2 linked regions of the Rhinolophus ferrumequinum genome follow. The protein of the gene in region 2 interacts with the protein of the main gene of each other region in a pairwise test. Links are inferred from orthologs where the notes say so. Each region holds a gene or a part of one and is shown on either strand. Other genes may lie near its edges.

Region 1 (8,023 bases), on a different chromosome or scaffold from region 2:
TTGGGCTCCAGCTTCCCTTTCTCACGGGTCATCACCCTCATCTGGGAAAGGAGTTGTCTGAGCAACCTCTAGATCATGCTCACATTGGGCTGCCAAGGCTGAGTCCATGGCAACCTCTGGTGGGGCAAGAACAGGCATGGCAACCAACTCCAAGTTGGGGTCTCCATGAGTTTTCTAGCAAGCCAGAGGAAGGGTTTGTCAGAGTTGTAGTTACTTTTGGCAGAAAGTAACTGAAGATTCTTCTTTTGGTGGAAGATAATTGATTTTGCCTTAACTTTTCTGTCCATAATAGCTACTTTGTTGCCACATAACATGATGGGATGTTTTCACATATTCCTACCAGATCTCTATGCCAGGTAGGCACATTCTTCTAAGTAACTCTCAAAGTTACATCAAACACTTTAATGGCACACTGGGCTTGGATGTAGTAGACATCTTTCCATCCACCAAATTTCTCCTGACCAGCTGTATCCCATACATTAAACTTAATAGGTCCTCTGTTGGTATAGACACACGGATATGAACCTCAAGACCCAAGGTAGCTACATACTTCTCAAATTCACCAGTCAGATGATGTTTCACAAATGTAATTTTCCTAGTCCCATTATCACCAACCAATACAAATTTGAACTGAACTTGGGGTTCTTCTTGGGTAGGCATTATCTCTGGGCCTCTCTGACTAAGAGCTGGAAAGATTGTGGAAGCACCTCTATTTTTTAATTAAACTTTTAATTTTTGAGATAATTGTAGATCACATACAGTTGTAAGATCAGACATGTACTCTTTCCCATTTCCCCCAATGGTAAGTAACATCTTAGAAAACTACAATACATCACAACCAGGATATTGACAGTGATATCGTCAAAATATGAACATTTCCCTCACCACAAGGATGTCTCTTATTCACCTTTTATAGCCACACTCACTTCTGTACTGCCCCACCCCCTCCTTAAACCCTGGCAACCACTAACCAGCTCTCCATTTCTATAATTTTGTCTTCTCAAGAATATTATATAAATGAAATCATGTAGTATGTAACCGTTTGAGATTGTTTTGTTTTTTCCCCACTCAGCATAATAGTCTAAAGATTCATCCAGGTTGTGTGTGTATCAATAAACGGATCCTTCCTTTTTATTACTTAGTATTCCATGGTATAGATATAATCACAGCTTAACCATTCACCCATTGAAAGACATGTGAATTTTTCCAGCTTTTGGCGATTGTAAATAAAGCTGCTATGTCCATTCATGCACAAATCTTTGTGTGAGCATACGTCTTCATTTCTCATATGCCCAGGAGTGAATGCCCAGGAGTGAAACTGTTACATCATATTGTAGTTGCACATTTAGTTTTTTGTTAAGAAACTGCCAAACTGATCCTAGAGTGGCTGTACCATTTTATATTCCCACTAACAATGTATGACTGATGTAGTTTCTCGGCATCCTTGCTGGAATTTGGTGTTGTCACTATTTTTTATTTTAGCCATTCCAGTAGATGTATAGTGATATCTCACTGTGGTTTTTATTTGCATTTCTCAAATGGCTCATAATGCTAAACATCTTCTCATGTGCTTATTTGTCATCTGTAAATCATCTTCAGTGAAACGTCTTTTCATGTCTTTTGCTCATGTTCTAATAGGATTGTTTGGTTTTTACGAAAGGAGAATATCTTTGTTTTTAGGATGCAGTGCTGAATTACTTTATTAGGAATAAAATGACACTACTATGTCTGTGACTTTCAGAAAGTTAAAAAAAAGTCATAGATAAATATAAGAGAGAGAGTAAATGTATTAAACCGTTAACAGTTGGTAAGTGTAACAAGTACTTGGTATCCACTGCTTTATTCTTGCAACTTTTCTTTAAGTTTAGAATTTTTCAAAGTAAAAAGCTGGCTCCACCTCAGATCAGATCTCCTGAATCTGGGTGGGAGTGCAGAGTCCACATGTATCTGCCTTTCAAATACATCTCCCCTTTGATTTTTATGCATACCAGTTATAGATGTACTGAATTGAAGTACAGTAATGTATTTTTATTTTAGTCTTTATAAGGGTAAAGCTAGAAAAACGTCTAATCATATCTTGGTTACACAATAGAGTTTAATAATCTTGAATTAATGGATTTAAACTCAGTCTTTACATAGCTCAAGTCCTTTCCATGGTCCTCTTCAATTTTCTCCATTTTCTTCAACTCTATTAAAATCTTTACCTATTTTTATGTAAATGGCTTTAAAAGTTATTGTAAAGCACATGACACTGAGTGTCACCCTCCAAATTGCTTCAGTGGACACTGCCTACATTCAAGCACAATCTAGCCTCTAATTTCCTCCAGCAACTGAAAGAGATGAGTAGTACTACTGTCTTTATCCGGCTCAAGGCAGTTCTTTTTAAACATTTAAATTATAGATGGAGGGACAGCATGTATTATACTAGGTGTTTGCTAAATAATAAATGACATTAATAAGTAATAAATGAGTTGAAGATCCAAAACACATACCTTAACAAACTTTTGCATATCAAAAGCTTATCAAGACACTGCTTTAAATGTACAGCTATCACTTCAAATCAATTGATGGACTTGAAATAATGTGAGAACCTCAAGATGGCACACAACACTCCCTGAATGATGAAAATACATGGTATTTTCTATAGAAAGATGTCACTAACAACATAAAGCATACTCTTAAAGGTTTTGTTATTGTTTTTCCATGTCATACTGACAAATTTGTACTAATTCCTTGATTCATTTGGTGACAATTGGCTTACAATTGCTAGATGGGTTTAGGACTGTCAGCTGATGATACTGAAGAGCAAATCTAAACTAGGGGGGCTCACATAAGGAAGGAATCTGATTTTTAGCATCATTTGAAATATAAATGGCCTCCAGACTCCAGGTTAGCACCAAAGCATTTGTGGTTGTCTCCGAGAAGGCTATCTAATTTCAGATCTCAGTTAAGTAGAAAAATTTATCTCAACGGTACAAGAGTATGCTCTAAATTGATTTGCAAAACTTGTGTATGTTTTAAGTCTTTAACTCATTTATTACTTAATGCTATTTAGTAAGCAAATACAAATGTGGTGAGCACACCATTCATTAGAAATACATTGTAGGGTTGCAGGCTCTGGATTTTGACTGAATTTTAAATTATGAAACTTTCTTTCCTTAAAACAACTTGAACCACTGTGACCTAAACCAGAGATTAGCCTTCGATTATTTCCTCTTAAGAGACTCTGGAAATCCTCCACAGCTTGCAATGGTAGTGCTAAACCTAAAACACTCAACCATGAGGTATTAATTGATTTCACCCTATGACTGAGTGATTTCACCCTAAAGACTTAAGTGAGACTAAATGGTTGGTCACTTTCCTGATTTAGTATTTTCTCCACTTTGTTAGATCCCAGAAGATTTTTCAGTAGGTTTTACATGAGACAATAAGGATCTCTGACTTCCTTTCCTAGAAAATGTCTGGCATTACCTCAAATCTGCATTTCAGCATTACAGGGGGATGGATAGCATCACTAGACTGACAGCCAAGTCCACTTTGTGATCATGGTATTAGTTTCTGTCACAGTTCCTGGCACGATAATAATTTTCAAATAAATAAATTAATGATTTAAAAAATACATGTGGTATTTATAACCAAATATATCAAATATGATATACAAATGTAGAAAATTAAGCGTCAGTTTTTACAGTTATCAGACTTTTGGTTGGTCTTCCGAATTAATGAGAAAATGTTTTCCTGAATATTTGTGATGATATCTTGCAGCATGTGTAGGATTGTATTTTAAAGTTAAATGACTAAATACTAAATACATTTTTTTTTTTTTTTTTTTTTACCAACAGGCCTCGGTTAGAGCTACAGTTGAAAACTTCAAGGAGCTTAAAGAATCAGGCAGTTTATTCAAGCAGCAAGGGTTGTGTTGCTCTCATCTTCAGCAAATCAATATTCATAATGTATAAGCAATTAAATTCAATTTGTTTAGTTTTTTTAATGACCAGAGTCAAAACCTATCTAGTCCCAAAGCAGCAAGGAGCTGTATCTGTCAGAAGCATCCATTTAAATTCTTGCGTTACAAGGAAAAGTAATCCTCCTTAGCTATTATATGTTTGCAAAAGTTTACAATGACTTTATCAGGTATTCCTCACACCTGTTAAAATTATTAGCATTATTTTAAAGAGCGAGAGAAGACTAGAAGCAACGTGAGAATCGAATTGTCTACTCCAGAGACATTTGCAAATGACACACGGTTTTTCTCGCCCTGCACAATACAGGGTAAACCCGGTTTTCTGGGACGTGCTAGGTGGCCGACATTTTCCCTAGCAAGAGTTTCACACTTTTACAATCGGAACGGATGTTAAACGCTCGGGCTCAAAGCCAAGCGGCTCTTTACCGTCTGACTAAATAACCTTTCCCCGCAGCTATTTAATCGGGCGGAAAAACCCGATCTCCCTCTAGAGCAGAACGTGGAGGTGCCTGCCTCTCCGCACCAAGCGCCAGCGGCGAAAAATGAGCCCGGGCCCTCCTGCCCCCGGGGACGCCCGGGCCAGCCAGAGTGCAGCGCGCCTCGGGCTTCCGCCTCCCGGTCCTGCCCGGCTCCCCGGGGCCGCCTCTGCTTCAGGGACGCGGAAACCCCGTAGGAGCAGGGAGGGAGGGGAACGCGGGTCGGCGCCGCTTGCTGCAATATTCTTCCGCCGCCAAGCAAAGAGTCCCATCCTTCTCCTACGGTCCTGGGATTCCCAGCGTCCCTGTAATATCTTGACATAACCAACTTGGATTTTCCCACCGACCTTCTGAGGACACTTTCTGAGGTAAGGACACCAGGGCCACAATTTTGTGGCTAATGAAGAACGACGAGAAAATTCCTCCGCAGAAAACGGGTTCCGGCCACGAGCCTATAAAAAACGGGTGGGGCGGTCTGACTGTCTTTTCAGTCGGGCGCTGAGTGGTTTTTCGGAACATGTCTGGTGGCTCCGCGGATTATAACAGGTACAGGGCATTTTCGTTGGTGCTGTTTTGTGGTGAAGGTCAAATGGCGCCAGAGGAAATTGTAGTAGCTGGCGTGGAGTCAGGGAACGCCGGGTTCATAGGCATTTCCTTGGGGTAAGGTACCCCTGTGTCCTTCGAGAAGCTTCCATGATGGGTAGAGCCCCTGAGCGAGGGGACACGAGATAAGGGTACGAAAATGGAGTGGTTGAAGGGTGTCTTTTTTTCCTGAAGATCCTTTTAGATCTCGGCTGCTTCCCCTGCCCGTACGGAGCCCGACACTTAGTTAAAGCCGTGGCGCAGTCCGCATTCGGTACAGTGTAACCGGGGCCCAAAGCTTTATTTGCAGCGAACCGCGCGATTGAAATGTTAGACTGAAGGTGGGGTGCGGGGAGGGTGACAGCGGCGCCCACTCGCCGCGGCCAAAAGGCGCGCTGGGACCAGACCAGCAACGGGGTCTCGGCGAGCCGTTGGCATGGCCTTCGCCAGGCCTCGGCCCGCGTCAATCACCCCGGCTTGCGCAGTGTTAGGGGCGGAGCTCAGCGCGTGGACCTCTCGCGAGACGGCCCGCCGCCGAGACGGCAGCACCTGGCGCAAGGGCTTGGGGGAAAGCCAGTGTCCGTGGGGCCTTGCCGTCCGTCCTGCGTTCTCAACCTTTGGGCAGGTGCACAGTAAATTATGTGCCCTGTGCCACCAGCTTCCATTGCTTTTTTAGTAGGAAATGCACACGTGCAGGAGGAGGGTAACCTGATAGACTGGTTGTAAAGGGCTATCCCCTCATGTGCAGTTAGGATGGCTTGTTAATCTAACTGCAGTGTTCTTTGCAGAGAACATGGCGGCCCAGAGGGAATGGACCCCGATGGTGTCATCGAGGTAAGAAATTGTGTGTGGATTTTGAAATTCTGGAAAGGTGAGTTTGTTCATACTATTTATTTTTACTTATTTTTAATTTATAGAGCAACTGGAATGAAATTGTTGATAACTTTGACGATATGAATTTAAAGGAGTCTCTTCTTCGGGGCATCTATGCTTATGGTTTTGAGAAGCCTTCAGCTATTCAGCAGAGAGCTATTATTCCTTGTATTAAAGGTAAAAGAACTCGGCAGTTTAAAAAAAATTCATTGTTTTACATAGACCTGCACCATAAAAGGGAAAATAACTTCTGGGGGTCTAGCACCTATTTGTATTCCTTAAAGTGAAATGATGGCAATCATCTTTCGGGACTGACCTGAAATGAAGAGAATACTCATTGCTGATCACTTAATTATTTGGGCATAATTCATGTTCCAAATGGAATACATGGTGTGAACTAGAATTGACTTTTTGATGTGGGATCGGTAAATATGTATCCTACTTTTTTTAGGGTATGATGTGATTGCTCAAGCTCAGTCAGGTACTGGCAAGACAGCCACATTTGCTATTTCCATCCTGCAACAGTTGGAGATTGAGTTCAAGGAGACCCAAGCACTAGTATTGGCCCCCACCAGAGAACTGGCTCAACAGGTATTGATAGTGTAGTTCAAAAAAACTGCTTGCGTGTTGCATAGGTTCAAGTTTCACAACTGAAAAATTTAAAGCTTAGTATAAATTGGTCCTATCAGAGCCCTCTTAACTGTCCGTGCATGCAGGGAGTTTTTGTTGAAAGTAAATAGGAACTGGGTGTGCAGGTATGGTTCACAGGGTTATAATGGAGAAACCAAAGCTTTCTGTTTAGGGTGGACTAGATTCCTATTTTTTTGAATGCAGTTGTGCAACATGAAAACTGCAGTGACATGTTATCACTTGACTGTCTCAGTTTGTGATGCATCTGGTGCACGATGTTTTCAAAGCTCACTGCTATCTATATTGGCTTTGAAGGAAACCTCGCTAATAAAGCTAGGCTTTGTTAAAGTCAAGATTATATGTTACTGCCCTGTGGGAAAAGTATCTTGTCTAGGTTGTAATTGCAGAGCTTGATCCCACTATTTACACCTTCCTACACAATGAAGAGTAACGAAGGAAATGTTTTTAGTTATAAATCTAGCTGGTACCTGGGGCAACAGGATCCTAAGTTTGACAAGGTACAAGAAGTATTTTAAGGGAATTTTACCTTGAAGCAGTTAGATCAGTCTGCATATTAAGCTTGGAAGTAGTTAAGTGTGTTGCATGCATAAAAGCTGTTTGCAGACCAGATATTTGCCATTATGCTTTAAAAGTTTAATCACAGCCTGTAATTCTGCTGGAAAATAATTAAGGCTCTTTGCTTTTAGATCCAAAAGGTAATCCTGGCACTTGGAGACTACATGGGAGCAACTTGTCATGCCTGCATTGGTGGAACCAATGTTAGAAATGAAATGCAAAAACTGCAGGCTGAAGCACCACATATTGTTGTTGGCACACCAGGGAGAGTGTTTGATATGTTAAACAGAAGATATCTTTGTAAGTACTGTCTATTGAGAGCGTACATTTTTTTTGCTATTATAAATAAACACAAATAGTATCCCTGAGAATCTAGAAGTGATAGTATGACTTTGTTTTTGACAGCTCCAAAATGGATCAAAATGTTTGTTTTGGATGAAGCAGATGAAATGTTGAGCCGAGGGTTTAAGGATCAAATCTATGAGATTTTCCAAAAATTAAATACAAGTATTCAGGTGAGCTTTACCTTTCACCCATATCTGGAGATTGTTTAATGCAGGTATTGTTACAATACAACTGAAGTGTTTTATTGTCGTTCCCCCTGCTTACAGCAATTGATGCAAAACTATCTCTGTCTAGCACAATTCCATAGCAAGACAGAGACGCTTGGTCTCAAACATGTTTTCTTGAATATTTTGAAAGTTGGGCTACTTGTGTGACAACATCATTGTCTTTTTAAGGTGGTGTTGCTTTCTGCTACAATGCCAACTGATGTATTGGAAGTGACCAAAAAATTCATGAGAGATCCAATTCGAATTCTGGTGAAAAAGGAAGAATTGACTCTTGAAGGAATCAAACAGTTTTACATTAACGTTGAAAGAGAGGTAATGTGTCTAATTAAACATAAAAATGTAGCCACTTT
Region 2 (7,778 bases):
AAGTTCAACAAAACCGATTATTTTCATACAGTTATTGTTATTGATTTCTAGAGTTACACTTTTAACTTATAAGCATAAAAGAATTTTTAAAAACATTTATACAGATACAGAATTAGTACTACACTTGTACAACGTGCATCCTTATTTTTCCCTCACAAATTAGGGCAAAAAAAGTGTGCATTATACATGGCAAAATACGGTAATCCTTGGTCTACTAAAATGCTACCAAACTGCTTCAGAAATTAACAAAATGGTGACATCACTCTAATTCTGTTCAGAATAAACAGACATATGATATTGAAAGATATTTATATAGAGTCACAATTTGCACCAACTCTGGATTTGGGGGGGGAAATAACCTTAGAAACATATGCACCTAGGTATATGAACAAATAGTTGGCAAACCTCAACATTGAGAGTCCTCCATGGCTGAAAATGCCCTATCTATTTCATTTCAATTACAGTGAAGTGAAAAGGTTATATAATGTGTGTATGAGTTTTTTACACTACAGTTACATTAAAAAGTTCATACTTGATGCAAGTATAATCTTTTGAGAAAATACTTCTGCAGAACCTAGCTAATAAAGGAAATGAAGTGATTATAACTGGTTTACAAAGCCCTTTATAATTCAAAATGAATTTTACATGCATTATTTCATGTACCTCTCAGAACAATCTTGAGCTAGGTACCCCACCGTGCACACAAAACAGATTCAGAGAAGGTAGGTGATCTGTCCAGAGACTCAGCTGCTCAGTGGAAAAACCAGAATTAAAAACCTAGACCTTCTAGATCCAGGTCTGTTTGCACAAGTTCAATACAAGATTTTAGTATCCCACAGGAAGATTCTTTTTAAGGTTAACAGAGAAAAGCTTATGAAAACATAAGACTCCTACTGTTTATATAAAATTTTTATATACTGCTTCCCAAACATTAAAAATAACATTTATTTTAAACTATTATACAGAAGGCATTCAGTTGGGCGAAGAAAATGACCAGGTAATGACTATTACCTATAACTCACCAAGTTTGTTTTTATTAAGTAATCATAAAATAGCCATCTGTGTCTTCAGGCAATGATAACGCAATCAAGAACTCAGTTACACTTGAGAGCATCACAGAAGTTTTAAGAGTTTAGATAATGATAAAGGTATGTTCCATATTTTAACTTGCTTCAAAGTAGGGGGGTTTTTATCTAGTTTACTTAACAACCCTTAAAATTTTTGCCCCAAACTTCAGAAAATGTAAAGCAAAAAAATCTAAATTCCACATCCTTCATACTAAACGACAAAATTAATTTGCAATAAGAAAACAAAACTATACATAAGTTAGACAAAATTAAGGCTGAAATTAAACATTGTTCTCATTTCTCAAAAGTTTCACAGAAACATTCAATCAGAAGTATTCAACAGCCACACCATTCCCTTAAAAAGCCTCATCCTCCCCCAACCCCCCAAAAATCTATTTCCTGAAATATACCTGATAAACGCTCTGACAATTTTTGGAGTCAAGGTTAGTCCCCATGTTAACTAGAAAATTATTTGTATTCATCCAGGGTTACAATCACAGTTAATTAGCAACTTAAAATCAACTGAAATTATTTAACCACAATGATTCAAAATTGAGCACTACAGAAAATATCAGTGTCATTTATTTAATGCACTCCTAGCAACTATTTTTCTTATTACTACAACAGAAAAAAAAATCAAAATATAATTCAAAGATGCCTGCTGAAATATTAAGGAATTTAATAAACTTATAATGAGGGAAAGTTAAGGACATAAATACCAATAATTACATTTAGAACGTATCTGCAGTGGTTCCTTTTTTAAAAAAAAAGTATACGGTGGTTTCCTAAAAAGCCTTACATTCGCAAGAAAGCCAAAATAACTACAACTCAACAGTGAAAACACAAGTAACAACAGGCAGGGGTTCCCCCACCCCACAAACGAAGCTGCATTTTTAATCGTTTTAATCATCTATTGTAGATAGTACACCGTTGCTGGCTCTGTAGCCAGTTGTCTCAAGGACACCCGGAGACCGGCGATACTGACGCCGCAGACCCTTCTGAAGCTCTTGTAAAAAGAAATTAAAAACCCTCACTGTGTACACTGCAGCACCAAATTGACAAATGCAGCAGACACAGCATGCATCTCACAGAAAGGGGGCTCCCTTCCTGTCTTTGTTTTCTCGGGGAGATTTCATTTAAACTAGAAAAAGACAATCCTTTGCCGGAGGAGGGGCGCGGCGAAGTTAGCGCAGGGCCGAGCGGCGGGCACGTGTCCGCCTCGCAGCGCCCGCCGGAGCGCGCGCGGCCCCATCCGTAGCGGCCGGGCCCGCTTCCCCGCCGCCGACGCAGGCCCGACCGGCCCTCGGGGGGTGTTGGGCCGGGCCTGGGCTCCAGGACACCGGCAGGCGCAGGGCCTGGGTCTGGGTCTGGGCAGGCCCGGCCGGGGGGCGCCTCTTCAGTGGGCCCCCAAGGAAGCCAGGGGGGCGGGGCGGGCGCAAACCTTCCTCGCAAGATTTCAGTCAGGCCAGAAACGCGCCTCCCGACGTCCCCCACCCCAAATAAAAATGAAACCTTGGCCTTCGCGGGGACGAGGAGGAGACCCTCGCCGAGGGGCGCCCCGCGCGCCCGGCTAAGCGGGGAGGGGGTCCGGGCGGAGGCGGGCCCGCGCCGCCGCGCTCCGGGCCCGAGCCTAGAAGGAGGGAACCGGGGCCGGTTCTCCGTAGCCCGGGGCGTTGGGGCCGACGCGGCTGGGCCTGCGGGGCTCGAAGGAGGGGGCCGGACCCCCGCCCGCGGACCTGGACCTGGCCAGCCGGGGCCACGGCCTCCACGCCCCCTCCCCCCCCCAACGTGCGTCTGGCTCCGAGGAGAGACCGGGGCTTGGGGAGAGGGCGCAGTCCTCCCCAGCGTGCGAGCCGCGCCGCAGGTACTGACCCCTCGGACCGCCGCCGCCGCCGTTCGCCCAAGTCCCTGGTCCACCGGCCTAACCCCAGTCCTCAGCCTCTACGCCGCCTCTGAGAGTCTCTGCCCCTCTCGCTCTGTTTGTTTTTGTTTTGTTCTACCCAGTAACACGGGGGCGAGAGGTCGGCGTTTATTGGCCGAGGAGAGGAGGTCGGCTGGCCAATCGTGGAGGTAGAGCGGGAGCTGCGGAGGAAAAGGGAGGGAAGTGAAACGTGGACAGCTGGGCAGGGGCGCAGGAAGGCGCATGCGCATCTGGCTCCCCGGATTCGCGGGAGTGGGAGCTGGGCCGGCAGCCCGAGTAGGGGGAGCCGGGGAGGCGCGGTGGGATGGAAGCGTGGGCGAAAGGGCAGTTCCTGGGGGTGGAAACTAGGCTGAGACTCCCTTGACATGCTCACCTATTCCCTTCACACGGCAGTCAGCAAACTCTGCTAAAGTAAAGTAAAGGCTTTGGGCTTCCTGAGGTTCCCTGCCTCCAAATCGGGACACTCGTCGGGAATACGCTTAATCTTGACAATTCCTTCTCTAGCTGGCTCCTGATCACTTCTTGGTTCCTACAGTGTGCAAACTCCATGTTAGGGACTATCTCAGCAAATGCTGTCAACCGTTTGAGACGGAAATCACTCCCATTTCATAGATGAGGAAACACTCAAAAACTCTTTGAAGTCCCTTTACCAATCATAACTAATCAGGCCACAGGGCTTCAAATTCACACACACCTGACTCCAAGGCTGGGTTTCTCAACCATGACTATAATTTCCTTATGGAAATTTCTGCCTCCCGTGGCCGTTCTGTCTTTTCCTCATGGCTGTGTTCTCCTTAGCTAGTATTTTCCTCTCATTCTTCCTAGTTCCCTATCCCCTGAGGTAATGACCAGAACCTTCTGCTGTCTCTGTGCTTTAAGAAGACTCGATCAATATTTAACAGTCATCTGATATGCAACACCTGAATAGTCTGTTGGTCTCTCCAGAACCAAACTGCCTTCCCCCTGGACCAGGCGAGCTTCTGCCCAGTCAACCTTCCTGGGAATCATCTCTAATATTATTTCTCTGCACACACACACACACACACACACACACAAAATTCACTAGCTTCCCATTGCCTGCCTGGAGCGTGAGTACCTCAGCCAAGCATTCAGGGCCCCTCAGTATAACCTCCAGGCCACGTCTATCCACACCCCTCCCAGCCCCCACGCACCCTTGGCTGGAACCCACTTGGACCACTCACTGTACCATATGCTTCCCCACCTCTTGATGGTTCTTTATTATATCACCTTGAAATGTCTCTCCTCCTATCTCCCATCATCGCCTGATCCAATCCTCTCCATGCCTCATGGCTCTCCACCTAGGCCTTTTTAGCCTGGTGATTTGATGTGATCTTCCTGTCTCCTGAATCCTCACAGTATTGCCTCGTTGTACCTCGGGGGGCACTGATTACATTCTACTTGGCATTATGTTATCTGAGTCCCCGTCCTAGCTCTTCTCTCTGTTAGACTGTCACCTTGTTGACGGCAAGACCTGGGTCTTACTCATCTGTTATTGTTGTAGTGCTTAAGAAGACGCCTTGCACATGTATTATACCCGTGAAGGAAGTACAGCTTGAGCTGAGTTCACAGTGGTTCTCAGCAGTTGGTGCTCATCCCCATCTCCGGGCAGGTGACTCCTGGCATGGTCAGCATCTGAATTAGCCTCATGAGTCACTCTTACTTTCTGAAAGCAAAGTTTCCTGGTCACTCAGTTTTGTTTTTCAATCACCTGCAGCTGCTATCTCCTTCCCTTTCTCTGCCAGGGCTCAACTATTCTCTGCTGATCAGTGACTACTGGTTCCTTTTTTTTCATCCACCCCTCTCTTTTTCCACTTTTTTCCTTTTCACACTCCTTCTCAGTTGCTGACCCTTTCCTTTTTCCTCCCAGCCTCCAACCTCCTCTGACCCCTGCTAGGTTCTTTCATTTACTCATTTATTAAGCACCTATGGAATATCCAGGCTGCAATGGGCAGGCACCCTAAGATCTGTGCAATAACAAAAGAGTAGGATACAATTACCCATTTTTAAAGCACCTGAAACAACCTCTATCTTTTACCAAATTGCCCCAAAAGGACTCACTGTGGAGTAAAATGTTCATATCCTTTTTAACCATTTTCTCGAGGACTACACATGATGACTGGCATCCCAGAACCCACCTTAGGGAATGCCCCTCTAGTTGGGTGTAGTTGACCAGGCAGTCAGGAAATGGGATTCTAGTCCTAGCTCCCCCACTAATTACCTGTAAGAAGTTCAGCCCCTCTCAGGACCTCTGTTTTTTTCACCAGTAAAATTCAGAAATTGGGTTCAATTAGTAATTCCCAAGGTATTTTCTAAAGAACGTGAATTTTGTTGAACTTTAACGGATATCATAAGAAAAATGGGGAGAGACTGTTCCATAATCAAATCGACTTGGAAATTGTTTTAACAAAGTTAAAACTGCTTTTCCCCCAACTCTTCTCAGTTTCTTTAATAAGCTAATGTGCCTTAAGAATCTTCTGGAACCAGAGTAGGAAGCTAAGTAGCGTTTCCCCAACTTATTTATACAGAACCCCCCTTTTTTTCCAAGATACGCAGAATCAATGTTACTTAGAAATTAGTTTGGAAAATATAGATGACAGCCACTATCACTAACATTCCTTCCAGCTGTATTGAACACTGGCCACCTGCCCCTTTCCTAAACACTAAAATAGAATAAAAAATTTTTTAAAAAATAAGCTTGCAAATGGAAAAGTATCCAAGTGAGAAGAATGTTTGCCCACCAAATCAATTTCCAAATATTTATTGTATGCCTGTTCTGGGAAAAGTACAGAGCTGATTAAGCTTTGTTTTTGGCCAAAGGTATCATTATATTCTACCTTATGGTAGGTAATGTCTGCCCAGGCTTCTGAGCCACAACGTACATTTTCATTTCACATTATAATTGCTCACAAATTGATTTTCTATTTCCTGAAGCCCTGTGCCTATGGGCTTATATTAATTTAGCTGCTGGGTGAGAGAAAAGGAGAGAGCCCTTCTCCTTAACTGAGGGGTGTCCAAACTTTTTTCAACGTTTTTTACCAAGGGCCATATGCAGTAAAATACACAAACAGCCGGGCCACTCACTCGAGGTGAAGTACGTATTGCCTCACCTGGTTTATTTAAGTAAACTAAATATATTTTTGGAATTTGCTGCGGGCCAATAAAAAATGTATTGCGGACCGCAGTTGGCCCGCGGGCCACAGTTTGGACACCCCTGCCTTAACTCATTCTACCCAGAATGATGGAATTACAATTTCCATTTCCCTTAAGAATAACCCATTCCAGGGGCGGCAGGTTAGCTCAGTTGGTTAGAGCGCGATGCTCGTAACACCAGGGTTGCCATTTCAATCCCCACATGGGCCAGTGTGAGCTACGCCCTCCACAACTAGATTGAAACAACTACTTGACTTGGAGCTGATGGTTCCTAGAAAAACACACTCACAAATAAAAGTTTAAAAAAAAAAAAGAATGACCCATTCCAGTTTAGGAGAAGAAGGGACACTAGTGTTGTCCAGGATGAGATAGCTCTTCAGAGGTGGCAATGGAAACTGCATGCTGTGTGACAGACATGCATAATGTCTTCCCTGCACCCCATACCTCTCAGGATTAAGCACTATTGAGATGCCCAGAGGAATACAAAGAAAAGAATGTTTGGTTTGTTAGGGTGTATATGGGTGAAGATGGAGGATAGTTTCTAGTTGTTGCCTCTTAAGTTATTATGTCCCTAACTAACTGTGTTGCTTTGGGCATTTCACTTCCCCTCTCTGGGTCAACTGAATGCTTCAATTTCTTGCACTGTGAAAGAAGGAGTTAGCCACGGCAGGTAGTCCTTAAGGAGCCAATCGAGTTCTGACACCATGTGATGGTAGGCAAGGCACTGACATGGCACTACCAGAGTGGTGGTAGTGTGGGACAAGAGAGGGTTTGCCACCAGTGGCAGAGGAGAATTCCACCAAGTGTGGGCAGAAGGGCTGTCACTCTCAACTCAAGGGCTTTCTCTGAATTCAAAGCTCAGAGAATATCACATCCCTTCAACCCAAAGGTGAAAGCAAAGAAAGTTGATGTAGGGTTGGGAGTGCTAATGAGTCAATGTGGGTAAATTACTTGGAAATGCACAGATGCTAGGCAAAAGATAAGCACCTCAAATTACTATTGTCCTTGGAACTCTCCAAGGCCTTTTCGTTGTTTAGGCAAAGCCGCATTTGAGAACCCGAGTTCTGTACTAAGCACTGAGGCCAGAAGAGGCCATCTCCGTTTGAGGACTGAGAGAGGTCTTAGCCCACTTCCTTCCAAAGAACTTTCAAATGCTACTGTCATTTACAACAACTTCATTTACCTGAGCTGACATCCTGTTTCCTCAGACCAAGGACTGAATTTTTAGGAGTTCCTGTAAGGCACTGAATGACTCCTTACACAAATGGTAAAAGACATGAAACTTGCTCTGAAGAAAGAGAACTGAATAAAGAAGTCTAATGATGATAATGATGCTAGCTAACATTTGTGTTGTGTTTTAAGGCTTATTGAGCACGTTCGCCCCCTCCCTATGAAGTAGAAAAGCAGATATTACTCTCTCTGCTTTAAAGAGGAGGCAAATGAGGCTAAAGTACGTCACTGGTAATCAAGGGACTTTTATGATAAAAGGAAATGTGGGAATCACTAGTCCAAACCCTTCATTTTACAAATGGAGAATCAGAGACCCAGAGTCGCCCAAAGCCACACAGCTGGTTGGTAGCAGAGCCAAAATGTAAATGAGTTCTCAGTGTGCTGCTGTT

The links.
Region 1: the proteins of PDCD4 (region 2) and EIF4A2 interact in binary tests that used the Homo sapiens proteins (3 or more experiments, as listed by UniProt). The two-hybrid records come from large-scale screens. The link is inferred for Rhinolophus ferrumequinum from reciprocal best matches to the Homo sapiens genes PDCD4 and EIF4A2.

Annotation. Positions count from the first base shown.
Region 1 is NC_046285.1:58,773,756-58,781,778, reverse strand, and holds the start of EIF4A2 (eukaryotic initiation factor 4A-II), read left to right. Parts: upstream 1-4,930; 5' UTR 4,931-4,957; coding exon 4,958-4,986; intron 4,987-5,798; coding exon 5,799-5,856; intron 5,857-5,939; coding exon 5,940-6,072; intron 6,073-6,176; exon of another isoform or gene 6,177-6,245; intron 6,246-6,346; coding exon 6,347-6,486; intron 6,487-7,232; coding exon 7,233-7,401; intron 7,402-7,506; coding exon 7,507-7,616; intron 7,617-7,654; exon of another isoform or gene 7,655-7,781; intron 7,782-7,841; coding exon 7,842-7,985; intron 7,986-8,023. UniProt on the Homo sapiens protein: ATP-dependent RNA helicase which is a subunit of the eIF4F complex involved in cap recognition and is required for mRNA binding to ribosome.
Region 2 is NC_046299.1:16,476,388-16,484,165, forward strand, and holds the start of PDCD4 (programmed cell death protein 4), read right to left. Parts: upstream 3,091-7,778; 5' UTR 2,940-3,090; intron 2,122-2,939; exon of another isoform or gene 2,102-2,121; intron 1-2,101. UniProt on the Homo sapiens protein: Inhibits translation initiation and cap-dependent translation. May excert its function by hindering the interaction between EIF4A1 and EIF4G. Inhibits the helicase activity of EIF4A. Modulates the activation of JUN kinase.